2 linked regions of the Caenorhabditis elegans genome follow. The protein of the gene in region 1 interacts with the protein of each later gene in a pairwise test. Each region holds a gene or a part of one and is shown on either strand. Other genes may lie near its edges.

Region 1 (7,016 bases):
TAATATTGGCTGTGTGCCAAGTTTGTTCTCCAATTCATTGCCCGTAATTCGACAAGTTCCATAATTTTCAATCGACACGGTGTCCCAAGTTGTCCATTATCTCGACAGCATGCTTGACGTAATGATGTGAAAACTTTATTTAATTCATCTGCAAAAATTTTTTAAATTGAAATTATTATAGTTTTAAAACTTTGGAAAAAATGTTCAAAAATGATCAAAAAAAATTTTTTTTTTGAATTTTTTCTGCAATTTTCACTTATTCACTTATAGAGCTTTGATGGCCTGACTTTCCGAAAAAAAAAATTAGGCCACTCACTTTTATGTGATTGTTCCAGCATCGAACCCGAAGTTTTGAGTTGAGCACAAAGTGTGAAGATCGTGTTTGCGAGTTGTGAAGTGAATTGGCTCGCACGTACCATATTGTTGATTGTGTTCATTAGCTGTAGTTGTTGGTCTGGAAAAAGTTTGGAGAGTTTTGGATTTTTGGAAAAAAAATTTCTGAAAAAAAAATGTTTTTTTGGAATTTTTTTTTGGAAAGTAATTTTTTTTTAAACTTGGATAGTTAAAAAAAACATTGTATTTTTCTAAAAAAAATTACATTTAATTTTCCGTTTTTATATTACTATTTTCAAATAAACGTTAACAATTCAGATTTAATAATTGATTTTAAAACAATTTGGTACTTGTGTATTATTTCCCCTCATTTTTAAATATAATTTTTTAAATAAAAACGTGTGGAGTTTTTGTATTTTTAGTCTTAGCAAATAACCATTTCTAAGCCTAAGAAGGGAAACTGGACATCACGCTATATTAAAATGGATAATAATAAAACGAGGGGAAATAATACACAAGTACCAAAAATTTAAAAACATTTCAGAACTTTTCAATATTCACTTTTAGTTTGAAAAGTTTTTCTTTACTTTTAATCATATTTTAAAATAAATTGATTGTGCAAATTTTTTAACTATAAAGTTTTTAAAATTTCAGTATTTAAGCTGAATTAATTTGACATTTCTAGCTAATTTGAATAAATACTGGATTTTTAAAATAAAATTTACTTTTGAAAATTAAACAAATATTTAAAGTATGTAGTATGTGGTGTGTTTTTTGTTCGCATAGATTTGAAAATAAATCAAATAAATAATTTAAAAAGTATATTATTTAATTTTCAAATAGCAATATCAATTTTGGTATTTTATTTTGATTTTAAAAAATTCGGCACAAAAATTTTTGAAGATTTTTTTAACGCTGAAATGATTGATAGATTTTTTCTGTTGAAAAAAAAATTTAAAAAAACCAAAAAATGTCGATTTTTAATTTTTAATCAATTTTTGTGGATTCTGAACTGTATTTTACTTAAAACAATTTTTTTTAACTTGAAAATTGAAATCATTACTGAAAACTGAACAAAATACTGAAATTTTTCTGAATAATATTTTTTTTCAAATTAAATATTTTCAAATTCCCAACTCCAAACCCCTTACCTTTTTACCTCTAAAAGTTCACGAAAAGTCTCAAAAATCTCTCATTTCTCCAAAAACAAATAAATGTCTTCTCCCCCCACTTAATCCTTATCAATTTTATATCAAAAATACACGAATGAACTCTTTAACATTGTCTGCGTCTTTTCATTTCTAACAATTTCTCCTTTGTCGGCTTCTGTACAATGTTAAGTGGCGGCTCGGCGAGCCGCTTTTCAGGTATTTGCTGATCGACTTTGTAACGATGGAGGGGGAGGAAAATTGGGTTAAACATGGGTTGATTTAGATGGAAATAAATGAACTAATATTATTTTTTGATTAGTTGAGTTTTTGGCTATAAACTACAAAGTTACCTAGCACGAGGGCTTAGGCTTAGGCTTAGCCTCAGGCTTAGGTTCAGGCTTAGGCTTAAGCTTAAGCTTAGGCATAGGCTTAAGCTTAGACCTAGGCTCAGGTTTAGGCTTTGGCTTAAGCTGAAGCTTGGGCTCAGGCTTAGGCTTAGTCTTAGGCTTAGGCCTAGTCTTAGGCTTAAGCCTTATGCTGGGCTGCGGGATGGCTATTCCAGCTGATAAAACAAAAAAACTTTTCTTCTAAAAATGGATAAATCAAAAAACGGAATTTTTGGATTCATGAGAATTCTGAAAACATTGAAAAACCCGCACCCATGGCTTCAACTCTATAGTTTTTGGTTCAGTCTATCAAACTACAAACTACAAAGCTTCATAGCCTCACCCAACATATTTTCGGTTGAGGTCATTTTTTGTAGTTATAAACTCTTGTAGAATTCCCTTCCTCTACTTTCACAATCAGTATTTTACCAGAAACTTGTCGTTTTGACGAGCTAAGATGATATATGAGCTGAACGGGTGAATATGTGAGAGAGTATGTGGGATGAATAAACGCAGAGAAAGAGAAGAGCACCCGGGAGAAAAGAAAAAGTGTGTAAAAATCGAGTGCAGCTGTGAGAGAAATCTGAGTTTACGAACTGCAAAAACGCTTATGAAATCAGAAATAATCTATAAAATTGGGAACAAACTGAGGGACTACAAACTACAAAAGGGTTTCCAAAATCCCTTGATTTACCTCTAGAAAATTCTTTGAAAAATATTAACTGTATGCAAACTGGTCATACAATTTGGAGCTGAATATTTAGCTTTTAAAATTTTTAAATAATAAACAGTTTTTTTAAAATAAGTTGCACAAAAATTCAGGTTTCGCAATTTTTTATTGCAAACATTTCACAAAAAATCAGATCAGAATATTATCAGAATATTATATATTTATATTATTATTATTATATTATATAATGCCGTAATTTTTTTCAAAAAAAATCGGGCTTAACAAATTGTACATTTATTTTGAAGCTAAAATTTTTATTGTTATCGAAAAATTAAAATTATTTTTTCTAGTTTCACTATCAGTTGAAAAAAAATTCAATTCAAAACTTCCAAAAAATTATTTTTAAAAAATTAAAAAATTTCAAAATCTCATAACTTCTTCCAAAATTACCCAATTTGTACAATTACTATGTTATTTTGAAGCAAAATATTTGTTTTTTATAAAAACATTTTAATTTTATAGGAAAAATACAAAAACCAAAAAAAAAACCAGATTCACAATTAAAAAAAAAACATTTTTTTCGAGATTTCTTAAATTTTCAAAATTATCAGATTTTTTTAAATTCAAATTTTTTTATGGAAAACAATTAATTCTTACAGAAAGCTATACTTGCACAAAAAATTTACAAAAAACACATGTTTCAAAATTTTCGAAAACAATTATTTTTTTTCGAAAGTTTTCCAAATTTCAAAATATCATAACTCCTTTCAAAACCAATAGATTTTTCTAATTTTTACTTTATTTTGAAGTTTAATATATATTCTTTTAACTTTAAATTATATTTAGACTAATATATGACAATAAGTCAAAAAAAGTTTCAGTTTCAAAAGTATCAAAAAAAAACATTTTTTTTCGAATTTTTTCCAAACTTAAGTCTCTTCAAACTTGCTTAAATTTTCCAAATTTTAAGTTACTCTGAAGCTCAAACAATTATCTTTTTTATTATTACAAAAATAACTCACCAACACTCAACAAGGTGTTTCGGGGCACCTGAGGCGCGCCCTGCATTTTCCCGCCGCCAAAGTCGTCGTAGTTATGAAGCATGGTTTTTCAGATTTTGGGAATCAAAATCAATTGATTTTGATTTTAATTATTTTTTCAGATTAAAATGACAGTTTCGTGTGCAAGAAAGAATGTGTTGGCTGGTGGCAGGAGATGTTGGTGGACAGTGAAAAAGTAGAAGAAATTTTTTAGGAAATCCGAAAAAAAGTTTTTTAAAAACTTTTTTCAGAAATCCAAAAATCGTTCGTAATTTTTAAAATAAATTCGAAATATCGGCGGGACGTTAGGGGTAACGTTTTTGGGGATGAAAACGTCGTGTAACTGAACAGCACCGCCCGTGTGTTAATATCTTTGTGTTCTCCTGATTTTACACATTCTCTCGGAGATGAGCCACTCAGTTTGGCTCCGCCCATTTTTTGTTCTGTTCCTATCATCTCTGTCTCTTTTTGTTTTCCGTTTTTCTTTACAACAAAATTTGCAATGAGGGAAAGGGAAATTGAATATTAGGGGTATTTTTGAATCATTTTTTGGCACAAAAGACTGTCATTTTATCTGAAATTAATTATCAAAATTCGTTGATTTTGAGTTCCAAAAGACTTTATCGGCGGGGAAAATTAGAAACACTGGTTGGAATGTTTTGTGGTACTGAAAAAAAAGTTTTAAAAAATTGAGCTTCAAAAAAAGTTAAAAAATTTAAATTTTGGACAATTTTGAAAGGAGTTATGCTATTTTGAAAATTTCCAAAACTCGAAAAAAATTTTTTTTGGAGCTTTTGGGATTAGGTTTTTTTTAAAAAAATTTTGTTAATCAGATAATAATTTTGATTTATTATAAGAAAACATATTCAGCTTCAAAATAAATTAAAATTGGAAAAATCTGATAAGTTTAGTAAAAGTTATGAGATTTTGAAAATCGAAAAATCCCAAAAATTGGTTTTTTTTCTTTTCACCTGCAAAGTTACCTGGTTTTTTAAAATTTTGTTTTTATTTTTACGTACTTTACAACACAGTAACTCTTGCTGGAAATCAGTTGCTGAGATACTGTGTATTTTTTGGTTCAGGCTAAGATAGTTTTGTAGTTTGTAGTCTAAGCATCTCTCATCTTGCACCTCAATTTTCCATTTCGGAAAATCATTTCAGACATCATTCAAAACGGTCAGGGAGTTTCGGGTGGCACAAATTTACATAATCATTTACATATAATCAACACATTGTTATTTTTCTCTTTGTCTCTTTTTCTAAAACATATCGGAAAAGAACGAATTCCTAGAGAGACACAGATAACGAGATTGAAATTTGGAACCTGAAATTTGGATATCGAATTGCTTTCAAGTTTTTGTGAATAAAAAATTATTTCAAACCAAAATAAAACATGTATGTACAAACGAAATAAATAAATAAGTTACAAATTGCACAAAAATTGATATTTTATCAATTTCACGGCTCCGTACTAGTCGTGGAAGTTGTCTTAAAGTAGTCAAATACCCTGTGACAGTTCATTAGAAGAAGTGGAAGGAAGACCAATGCGTGGGTGGTACCTGGAATGAATTTAAAGGTTGCTGGCCTAGAAATTCAGATTTTGTGTTTTCTAGGCCACCAGTATGTATGTTAGTTCTTAGGGTTCTAAATTTGGGGTACGGTAGTACTAGCTTCAGCTGTGATTCAAATTTTCAGTAAAGCAGATCATCACAAATTTTGAAATTTTTGAAGTTGCTGGACTAGAAACCAAAAATTTTATAAATTTCTAGGCCACCAAACTATATGTGAACTCCCAGATGTTATGGAGATGTATGAGTAAAGTAGTTTGGTAGAGCTCATTTTCATTACCAAAATTTTTTTTAATTCCAAATTAGGTGGCCTAGAAAATCACATTTAGGATTTTCTAGGCCATCACCCCGCATGTCAGTTCCCAGGCCCCCTAAGACCTCCAAACTTTCTAAGTTCACTAGAGCGAATTTACACAACACTTACCAAATAAAATAACCAATACAACAGTCCTAAAACACGTTTGAACCACATAACTATCCACCAAATACAGCGAAGAAACACCCAAAAGTACGGAAACTGAAGCCTGTGTGACTGGCCAGCCGATTGTACCCAAAGTGTGACAAAATCGTGAATAAATTGCACTTTTTCCCGGAATTTGGGCTCCAGATTCTGTCATGTACGCGTAAGAGACGTGGGCGGCGAAATCTGGAAATTTTTTTAATTTTTTTTTGTAAAATTTTTAGACTTTTGCTCCCCAAGAGCTTTCAAAACAGTAGTGAAGGGTGCAGATTTTCGACGATATAATTGGAGAAGGCTACAAAAATTGGGTAGTTTATTGTTTGTAGTTTGTAGTTTATTGTTTGTAGTTTGTAGTTTATTGTTTGTAGTTAGTAGTTTAAAGTTTGTAGTTTGTAGCTTGTAGCCAAGTCTTACCAACTGAAAATCCGACACTCATTGCTACAGTAATCATTGACGTGGCATCCAGGCTGACACCAAGGAAGGACATGGTTCCGATGACTCCGAATGCGATGGAGGCGATATTTAAGCCTGCGATGTTTGACTACATAGACAACGAAGACTACAAATACTACGAATTCTACAAAACTCACCAATAATAACTGAGCAGAGTGGTTGTGGAATGAAGAGCAGTGCGACCGGAACCATGACAGCTGAAATTAGTATTTTTGTAGTTTTTAGTATTCAAGAATCATACTACAAACTACAAACTATAGTGATAAAAAAATTGTAGTTTGTAGTTTGTAGTTTACAGTTTATGCCTTACCAATAGAAATATAGATATCCTGCATAGTTTGTGGCCACATAATATCATACTCGTCTGCAATATTCCACAACGGAGAATATGTAATAATACTGTAGTTTGCATGTTTTTGGGACAGTTTTCTGCAAAAATATTTTGGTTGAGGCTCACACAGGCAAAGCGGGTACGGTCCGTTTACGGATCTTGGACCGGGAACGGACCATTAACGGGCGAACTACGGATATGAAAAGCGGGACGGACCAATTACGGGCAAACTACGGGGAATGTAAAAAATGGCCATTAAGAGGAAAAAATGGATTTTAAGAAAACAATTTTTTTTTAAATACCTATGATACCAGTTGGCTAATTCAAGAATTTTTACGTCGTTAAATGCATTATTTAGAGCAAAAACCACATTTACCGACCGAGATGGCTCTTGAGCCGTAGTTGGGCCGTTTCCGGTCCGTAGACGGTCCGTCGCCGGCCCGTAGACGGACCGTAAATGAACCGTCCCGGGCACCAAATTTTTGTTTTTGAAAATTTCAGGTTCTAGCACGGGAAAAGTGCTCAAATTAGCCAAAGGAGAGTGTAGGCACTTCAAAAACTCCATTTTCATGAAAAAATTTTTTCGTATTATCCTCCGTTTTGGTGATCATCCGTAGTTTGGCC
Region 2 (8,871 bases), on another chromosome or scaffold:
AATGCTCTATATTGATAATAAAATCATTCGTAGTAGAACATCGCATTCCTAATTTCAAACATTTTTCAAAGCGACATGACTGACAGATTCGATGAGAAAAGTTTCCCAAACATTGATTTTCTTTTTTGCACTCGTATTTTAGTTTATTCTGAACAGTTCTGGCGAAAAACATTTTACATGCACTGCACGATAGAACCTATAAAACCCCATTGCAAAATATTTTATTAGTGAGAAAACTCACACCATGATTACGAGTGGATGCTGGTCGGGAACATATTGTACACTTCTTATCTTGAGCCACTAGGCCTTCTAGAAAATACATATCAAAAACTTCTGAAATGATAAAAATGACTTGAAAACAACATTAACAGCAAAGACTCTCAACATTGATATAACAGCTAATTATTTTCTAGACATGCTACTTTAAGCTTTGAGCTGTCAGGCGAATGAGTAATAAAGTTTCAAGAGAATTCAAACGACCAAAAAAGTGGTGAAGGAATTTCTACTTTGATTTTCGAATGTTTGATTTTGAATTTATTGCTAAAACAAAATGGCGAGATGTGAGTTTATAAGATAATAAGCTTATTTTAATGCATCTCTAATACCTGAAACAGTTACCGAATCTAAGACAATTTGAAAAAGCTCTTCAAAAACATGACATTAAACAAAAATTCTACAATTGCAAAAACCAGCTGTAGAACCTAGATTTTCTCACGCCACCGTGAGTAGAAAATACAAGCGTGATAAATGTGCAACATCATCATATGATATTGAAAAAAAAAACCAGATGACAACTGAAATTGGTTAGTCAAGTTGAAATTGTTCCAGATGATTTGCAAATGGCCAATGACTCTGAATTGGATCTTTCATTCAATTTGGTTCAAATATCCCAATTTATTGAAACTCAGAAGATCGCTATAATGCATTCCAATAATTTCTGAATTATTTACAATACTGAATTTTATAATTTTTTCTGTTGAAATTTCGAAACATGTTCCTCTGTTCAAAAATCTTAGAAATCAAACGGTGACATTGAATAAATTTTGTAGATTTTAATTGGATTACCTTTTTCCAAAACCTTCATTTCATTCAACTCTCGGTCTTTGAACATTGAAAATGATATTTTTCGAGAAAACTACAAACACTACAGAAAGGAATCGTCACTTTTATTTTCGTCAAAATTCTTATTTAAATGTATTTATTTTGATCATTGAGATACTCAGTTCATTTTGTTGTTATTTCAGACTTATCACTAGGCTTTCTGATTGTATCATCTTCATCCATTAGTGATTGGCCGGGAGGTGATAAACATATCTGAAAGTATCAATACTGGGAGAAACTGGGTGATCTCACCTTCTTTTCAGTGTCGTTTTGAACTGGGAGCGGTCTTTCTCTACGATTCTGAATAAGGGATTGAATAAGGGAAGTTCAAATTACTATAAACTCTTACGTGCTTAGTTTTCAACATTTGTCTTCTCACGATACACATTTTGATAAATTTCTTATTTAGTTGCACATGATAAAGTATAAATGAAAATAATTAAAATTAAAAAAAGAGCAAAATAATGTCACGTGAGGTTTAAAAAGGAGAATAAAAAGCCCAAAAAGTGAATTGAACGTAGGAAAGATGTAGAAGAGAAGAGCATTTTGAAAAAATAACGCTAACTATGCTTTAAAACAGAAAGAAGGTAACAAAAAATGATGAGAACCGGTAGAGAACAAAAGGTTAGACAGAAATATGTTTTAGAGGTGTTTTGTTAATTTTTGAAATTACTAGGTTCAACTAGAGAATAAATATATACAAATACAAAAGAAAGAGAAAAAAAAATGAAAGAGAGAGCTTAATTTGAAGTTTCATTGAAATAATATTCATTGGCATCTGTAGGAAGTTTCCATCCAGATGCACCGAGTTCCAAGAGAAGGAGAATCATTTTACGGGCCCATGGTTCGGAGACGTCAATGAATGCATCCCTGTAAAAAATGATAAAGTTAAAAGTAAAATTGAAAAAAGGAAAATTTCAAAAATAACGCTTACTTCGAAAGTCTTAAAAGGCAAACGATACAAATTTCGATTCTTGTATGTGGGACAACTTTCTGCCAACAACACGGTAACTTAGTAAAATGTCCTCAAATCAGTCGGCAAGATTCTGGCAAAAAAGCCACAACGTTTACAGGCAGATATAGACAAACAAAGTTTGGCAGAAAGTTTCCCTCAAATTCCGAGGGTTGATAACATTTCATACCGTATTAAAAATTTAGTTATTAAAAATCTGTCATCTACATACTAAACAAATCAGAAATTTAATGCTTTTAAAAACATCGTGTTTTACCATTGGTTTCGAAAACAAAGACAAATAGCCATGAAAACTTTGCTTTGCATATTCAGTTATTATATATCAGGTTCTTTGACAAAGTGTGTTCTTGCCATCAAACTTCTGCATATGATGACGTCACTACTTTAACGATTCCAAGGGACCAACAATTGTTTTTACAGTACCTGATCAGATCTTTTAGCAGTGCCAACCGATCGGGACATTCTCTCTCCAAATCGTATCCACCCTTAATAAGAATAGAAATGAGACATTCCAATTCTTGAATCTTGACATGTTCTAGAATTGGTGGACGGAGAAGATAATTGAAGACATCAAACACAATTGTGGCAAGTTCTCCTTTTGAATCAGAACCCAAATTTGAATAGAGTTCCGTGAGGAATTGAATAAATGAAATCCACATTCGGAAATGATCTTCGCGAATCTTATGCCTGCATTCCAAGTATTGGGAGAGGGCGATGATTAGTCCCTTAATTAATAAAATAATGTTTTTTTGAGATAGAAAAATCCTCACCTTGACAAAGGAACCAATGGATGGTGCATACTTAAAGTTAGCACACAATTTTCCGACTCCACTACCTCCACCTCCTTCAATTGCATGACGGCATAAAGCGGATCCAATACATTCGGCAAGTTCTTCATCACAAAATGCTCCACCGATCCATTGCTCAATTTGAATTGAATGCGAATGTAGTTGAAGGGCTCTCAACTCAGTGATAGCCTTTTCAATTTCATGTTCGCTCATCACTTTCTTCTAGAACACGGGAATAATTATGTTTGAATGAGTGAAGAAGACACAAACCTTCTGATTTTCCTTCTTCGAGCTGTTGATCCTCTTGTTGTACTGCTGATGGGCGCCTCCGCTAACGTGTTGGCCATTCAGCTTATTCGAGTTAGAGCCGTATGATTTCTAAACTTTTGTTCGTTTTATTTGTCATATAGGTGCCAACAAGGCTTTTTGTGTTGTTTGCAAGACTCACCTGTGACGAGGGGGTCGATTCGGAACTTAATGAACTTTCAGTTCGTTTCAAACTTCCGTTCGAGTGCCGATCATCAGACGAGACATGGTTGGAAGCGCGCGAGCTGGCACGTGAACTCGTCGACTCGCCGCAATCTTTCTTATTATTATTTTCTGAAAATTGTCTGTGAGTTTAATTTGGGAATAACGATTCAATCTGTTCAAGTTTTAAATTAAGAAGTTAAAATTAGAAGGGACAAAAAATTTTCCCTTGTAAAAGTTTAACATCTGGAAACACTTAACCGATAGCCGACACTAAAATTATTATTTCCTCACCTTCTTTCAAAATCTGTGAATTGACATTTGTGTCACATTCGCTGGAGGACAGCTTTTGACCGGCTGCCGGCTTCGGTTTCGTTGACGATGTTGTCGTGACGGCCGTTGTTGAGGACGAACCGTCGGATCGAAGTCCTAAGGGAATATCGTTAAAAATTATATTGATGATGTTAAAATTTTTATTAACAAGTCCATGCTGACACGAAAATTCCTACTCGCCTATCTAAAATTCCTACTCGTCTATCCTGTCTTATAAGCGTATGTATTTTATTTTACATTTAGGGATACCTAGTTATACTTTTCCAAAATTAAAAAACTCTACAAACTCTTTACAGATTCAGTTCAAATAGTAATGTAAAGTCACTTACCAGGTGGACGGTAAATTTGCATGGCGGGTCTGTTGGTGGGCTTTTTTGTGGTAGCTGGTGCTTTCAGCTCTCCAATGAGCTGATTCTCAGTCTGAAACGTGTAGAAAAGTTATAGGAAATCACGAAAATTGATAGTAGCGTCCAGGGGAATGCGACTAGTGGCAATGGTTTATGCTAATTCACTTTTCCACAAATGATTTTGATTTTGAGAGGAAGAGAATGAGAGAGGGCTAGAAAGGAGACAATGATTCTGAACTTTTGAATAACAGAATACGAATCAACGGAAAGAAAAAGTGATGATGGGACACTTTGCAGTTAACCGCTCTGGCACCACACTCATCTCATTTCTCTCAATCCTCTATTCAGACAGCACACTATGAACAGGGATGCGGTTATCAGATACGCGGTCTCGAGCGGAGAAAAGAAACAATGATCGATAATATGGATTAAGAGACGACAACTTGTGAAAAGAATGAAGAAAAAGTGAGGATTTGAGTGATTGTGTGATTGGGAGTGGCACACAATGAAGTAAGAGTTTTGTAGTTGATTAAGTGCCGAAACATCGGTGTTTGGTTTGTTTGGGATGCCAGAATTAGCACTTCTAAGGGCTCGTAAGGTGAGAGTAAAGGTAAGAGCCACCACCGCAGCTCTAAAGAATGAAAATTGTGCTCTCTGTCTTGTTTCGCATTCTTTTGATGTTACACACAAACTTCATGTATCTAATTAATCATTTGCACGTTTCATTGTAAAGTTTGCTGCTCAAAAGATCACTGCGCGTTTGTTTTTAAAATTTACAAGATTGCAAATTGCAATAAAATATTTTTCAAGACAAAGCTAGATTCGACAGACTTATTTAGCTAAATAGAAACATTAAGGGGCATCGTTTCTGGTTCTTTTACTTAAATTATTTCGAGTAGCCAAAAAACCGAATTTCGTAATAATTTTGTAAAATGCGGCCATCTGTGGCCTTTGCGTCTATCAGAACATAATATCGAGAATGTCTTTTCCCCCGTTACACGCCAATTTGAAATTTTAGAATTTTAAAAACTGAAGGTTAAGATAATTAGTTTTATCTTTTACTAATGTTTTGTTATTTTTTATATGAAAGTACAAGGAATGAGCAACTCTTACTATTAGTGAACTTCAGAAACGACATGTGGTACAAGATTCACAATCAGAGGCTTTAAAAAATAATATTAATTTGACTCATAAATGTTTAATTTTGATCATGAAGTTTTTCAGAACTTTCAATAATGTTTATTTAAAAAATAACGCGGGTCTAAAACTTAAAATCATGTTTCCACAATTTCCCCCTAATGGTGATTTCCAAAAATGAATTGTATGTAGATTCGAGATTTTCCGAAATATTGAATTCTCCTATTAGATAAACTAACACTGACAAAAAGAACTGCGAGGATAATATATTTTTAATGATTGAACAAATGCCGTTTAATGAAAAATTATATTAAACTTTCGAAGGTATACTATTTTTGATACTAATTAAATGAATTAAACAAGTTGAATTTTTTCGTTTTTGTTCCATATTTTTCTAGTTAAATTATAGTCTATAAAAACACAAAGGTCCTAGCACTAGATTTACGTTTCAAGATCCCAAACTTGACGAGCTTGGCAAACGGCAAATTCGGCAAATTAGCCGCACAAGCCTGATCCCAATCATTTTTACCTGATACTTTTATTGACTAGTTTTCTTATTTCTAAAAGACGGAAAACAGACAGGTGTTAGAAGAAAAGAAAGAAAAAAACGAACCTGAAGAGTTTCCATATCTTTTACTTCTTTTTGTCGTCAGAGTTCTTGTTCAGAGTTCCACTGATCGATGATTATTTTCTTCTGCACTTGATGCGGCAGAATGAAATTGGGGAAATGAATATTTAAAAAAAATAAAGAAAGAATTTGGTCGTTGAATTTTGGGGAGTAATCGATTGAAAGCCTCGATCAAGAACTGACGTTGAATCGTGTGCACTGTTCGTCACACTATTGGGAAAACACAAAAAAGTCGCCTCGCCTGCAAAAAACGGAAATATATTAATATTATTGATTGATTATTTGCAACTGATATAAACGAACGAACAGAATAAATAAATATTTTGAGATGGGAAAAATGAAAAGATATTGTAGATAAATAGATTTATAGATAGAAAGAGAAAACGAGAAAGAGCAACGATTAAAACATGATAAGAAAATAGAAAAAAGATGCACTGTAGTTGTTTCATGAGTTTAGTCAGTTGGCTTTTGGTCATACGGAATCCTTTTTTTTTCACTTGTTCACAGTCAAGTGGATTGTTCTTATCACACTTTTCCTTCCATTGAATGTTTATTCGTTCAAATTTCTAGACCAAAATGGTTCGAAAAGTGCAAGAGGGCGATCAGGACAAGCAGGCAATTCCGTCATACCGTCTCGAATCGTCTGTGGTCGTAGTCACTATCTCTCTCGGAAACCACTTGATAATCCGTGTACAAAACAATGTTAAGTCGTTGTCAGTGTGATGGTGGCGACGAGCGCGCGCGCGAGAGCAAAAGAAATACTAGAGAGCACTCGAAGTATAGAGATTCAGATGATGGAATAGGGAAGGAAAAGCACGGGTGGGAAGGAATGAGCAATTTTGAAACGGGGACAAGGAATGAACAGTAGTGATGATGGTTAATGTTCGACGATCGGACAGTTTTCTGTTGAATGAATCACGTTGAAGGCATGTGTGATGGGAATGGAAGATCAATATGCAGTAAATTGTGAAACTGAATTTCTGAGTCTATGCAAAATTGGAAGGATGAGATTATCACATATTGTTATCATGCTATCAATCATGTATTGATTTCAAGACAAATAAAGGTAGAACGGAAATAATTGCCCAAAAATTAGTATAATATCTAAATGGATTTTAGATTATAATATGGAGATTAAAATTGAAAAAAAAAACTATTTAGTCTTTAAAACGAAAACATCTAACAAGCAATGTTATATTTGTCATGTTATATTTGTTAATGATGATTTTGGAATAATTAAAAAAAAGGGCAAAATTGAAAAAGTAGTATTCTTACTCTAATTTTTGTATAAAGAGTCTGAAAACAAACAAATTGCTATAGCTTTCTCTTTATTTTTTCGCCAATGATAAGTATTTACGATTTTCTACGAAGGCCGATTTTTTCAAATTTTTTAAAGTGTTAGTGTTAAAAAGGTCTACTGTGTGTAACAAAGGCTTGGAGTAAATTATAGAAATAATGCCCCAAACGATAAAAATAACAGTTATCTGTTAAGAAACCCTATTATAATTAGTAGACCAATACAGCGTGGGAGCAAAACTGCTCAGAAAAGCACAGCAAAACATCATCATTGTTTGCGAACGAACGGATAAGAGCAGGGGGGCGGTGAATTGGAAAAGAGAAAATAAAGATGGAACAGAACATGATAATATATATTTTTAACACACATGATTTTTGTCTGTGTTTCTCTCTTCTGATTCTCTTCTATATTTCTATTTATCTCTGGAATACTGCCAGGTGTGTGAGCAGGGTAGCACCATCCATCAGATACAACAGAAGTGTCATAAGAAGGTTCAGGATGAAACATGGAGGACCTTGAAAATTTAAAAAATTGAAAAGTTTGAAAAAGCAGGAACATGAAAACTATATTTTGAAGGGTCCCGGCTGGTCTTTGAATGTGATGTGAAGCTCGTTTCCAATTATTAAGAGAAGGACGATTCTTAAGATACGCAGACATACATTCTCGGTGTAAAACACGTTGAAATATGTGCTCTTAGCTGTGTTTGTGTGTGTGTGTGTGGCAAAGATGATGATGATTTGATGATAGAAATTAGAAAATTCTCAGCGGAACACCATCGGAGCTATTTCTGTGTCTCTATCACTTCAACATACTCTCTAAAAGTTCGATGGTCAACAATTTATGATTGTGGTTTTCGAGAAGAGAGCGGAGGTAGAATTACACACACATTTCAGAGGATTACACACAGTTCGCCTAGTTTGAGAAAAAGATTATGAGATCCTCGTTCTCAACTCTTTTTGTTAACTTTTCCTTGTTTGTTTTTAGGGAGAAGTGATTTTCTGTTCATGCGAGCTTGATTGTTTTCTTAATGTGTAGTACATACATTGTGTACCAATGACCAAAAGCTCAGCTGAAAAAATTTTTTCGCAATTTTGAAGTTTTTTTTGGAAATTATATTGTTAATTTAATTTTTTAGAACATAGTTCGAAAATTACCAAAGTTTTATGTTTAGTCTTTAATTAGAGTTCATACAAACATTAATCCAGATCTCGCCACGCAAAAAAACATTAGGGACCGAGACACCATTCTGAAATTGTATTCAAAGAAAACTTTTCTCTGAACCTATCTGTATCAAATTACTTTTTTAGAATATTTATGCATGGAGTCTCAATGATCGTCCCGTTGGAAATAGACATTTATGTATACATGAATTCAGAGAGTTAACCTGGATGATCAATCTAAAGTTTAAATTTAAAATTCTAATCATCCAACTTTTTTACTTTATTTTTCAGTTGGGTTTGCATATGTTGGAAGTGATATCAAATCTGAATCCGAAAATATATTTGTCGCCGAATCGTCGAAATTCTCTTTTTCCTATGATAGTTACTTGATATTTGATGTCTACATACGTTCGGTTTCTCCAAAGCTCAAGGTGTAAAGATTCGTTTTGGAGAAGCTAACAGAAAGTGAATTTGAAGGAAGGATCTAGAAAGGTAAAATTTTAAAATAATATGAAAAATCCTTTCTCTGGTTTCACAAATTTTTCGTGACTGAAAACGTTAAGAAGCATCAATTTCTGGCAATTGATAATATCAGACTGGAAGCTTCCATGGAAGGCAAACACGGATCCAGTTTGTGTT

Evidence for each region. The genes of interacting proteins can lie anywhere in the genome.
Region 2: the proteins of mxt-1 (region 1) and F44A2.5 interact in a two-hybrid assay, tested with the Caenorhabditis elegans proteins (2 studies listed by BioGRID).

What each region holds. Positions count from the first base shown.
Region 1 is NC_003279.8:12,841,256-12,848,271, reverse strand, and holds the start of mxt-1 (Eukaryotic translation initiation factor 4E-binding protein Mextli homolog), read right to left. Parts: upstream 4,004-7,016; 5' UTR 3,645-4,003; coding exon 3,563-3,644; intron 455-3,562; coding exon 317-454; intron 149-316; coding exon 1-148. Other genes in the region: ptr-17 (SSD domain-containing protein), read right to left, coding at 5,039-5,139, 5,573-5,794, 6,023-6,136, 6,199-6,258, 6,372-6,490. UniProt on the Caenorhabditis elegans protein: Plays a role in promoting translation.
Region 2 is NC_003283.11:9,294,777-9,303,647, reverse strand, and holds F44A2.5 (MIF4G domain-containing protein), read right to left. Parts: upstream 6,017-8,871; 5' UTR 5,776-6,016; coding exon 5,761-5,775; intron 4,084-5,760; coding exon 3,993-4,083; intron 3,760-3,992; coding exon 3,625-3,759; intron 3,474-3,624; coding exon of another isoform or gene 3,463-3,473; coding exon 3,311-3,462; intron 3,241-3,310; coding exon 3,133-3,240; intron 3,085-3,132; coding exon 2,845-3,084; intron 2,800-2,844; coding exon 2,498-2,799; intron 1,972-2,497; coding exon 1,842-1,971; 3' UTR 1,451-1,841; intron 1,402-1,450; 3' UTR 1,354-1,401; intron 1,315-1,353; 3' UTR 1,152-1,314; downstream 1-1,151. Other genes in the region: nhr-39 (Nuclear Hormone Receptor family), read right to left, coding at 1-196, 242-322.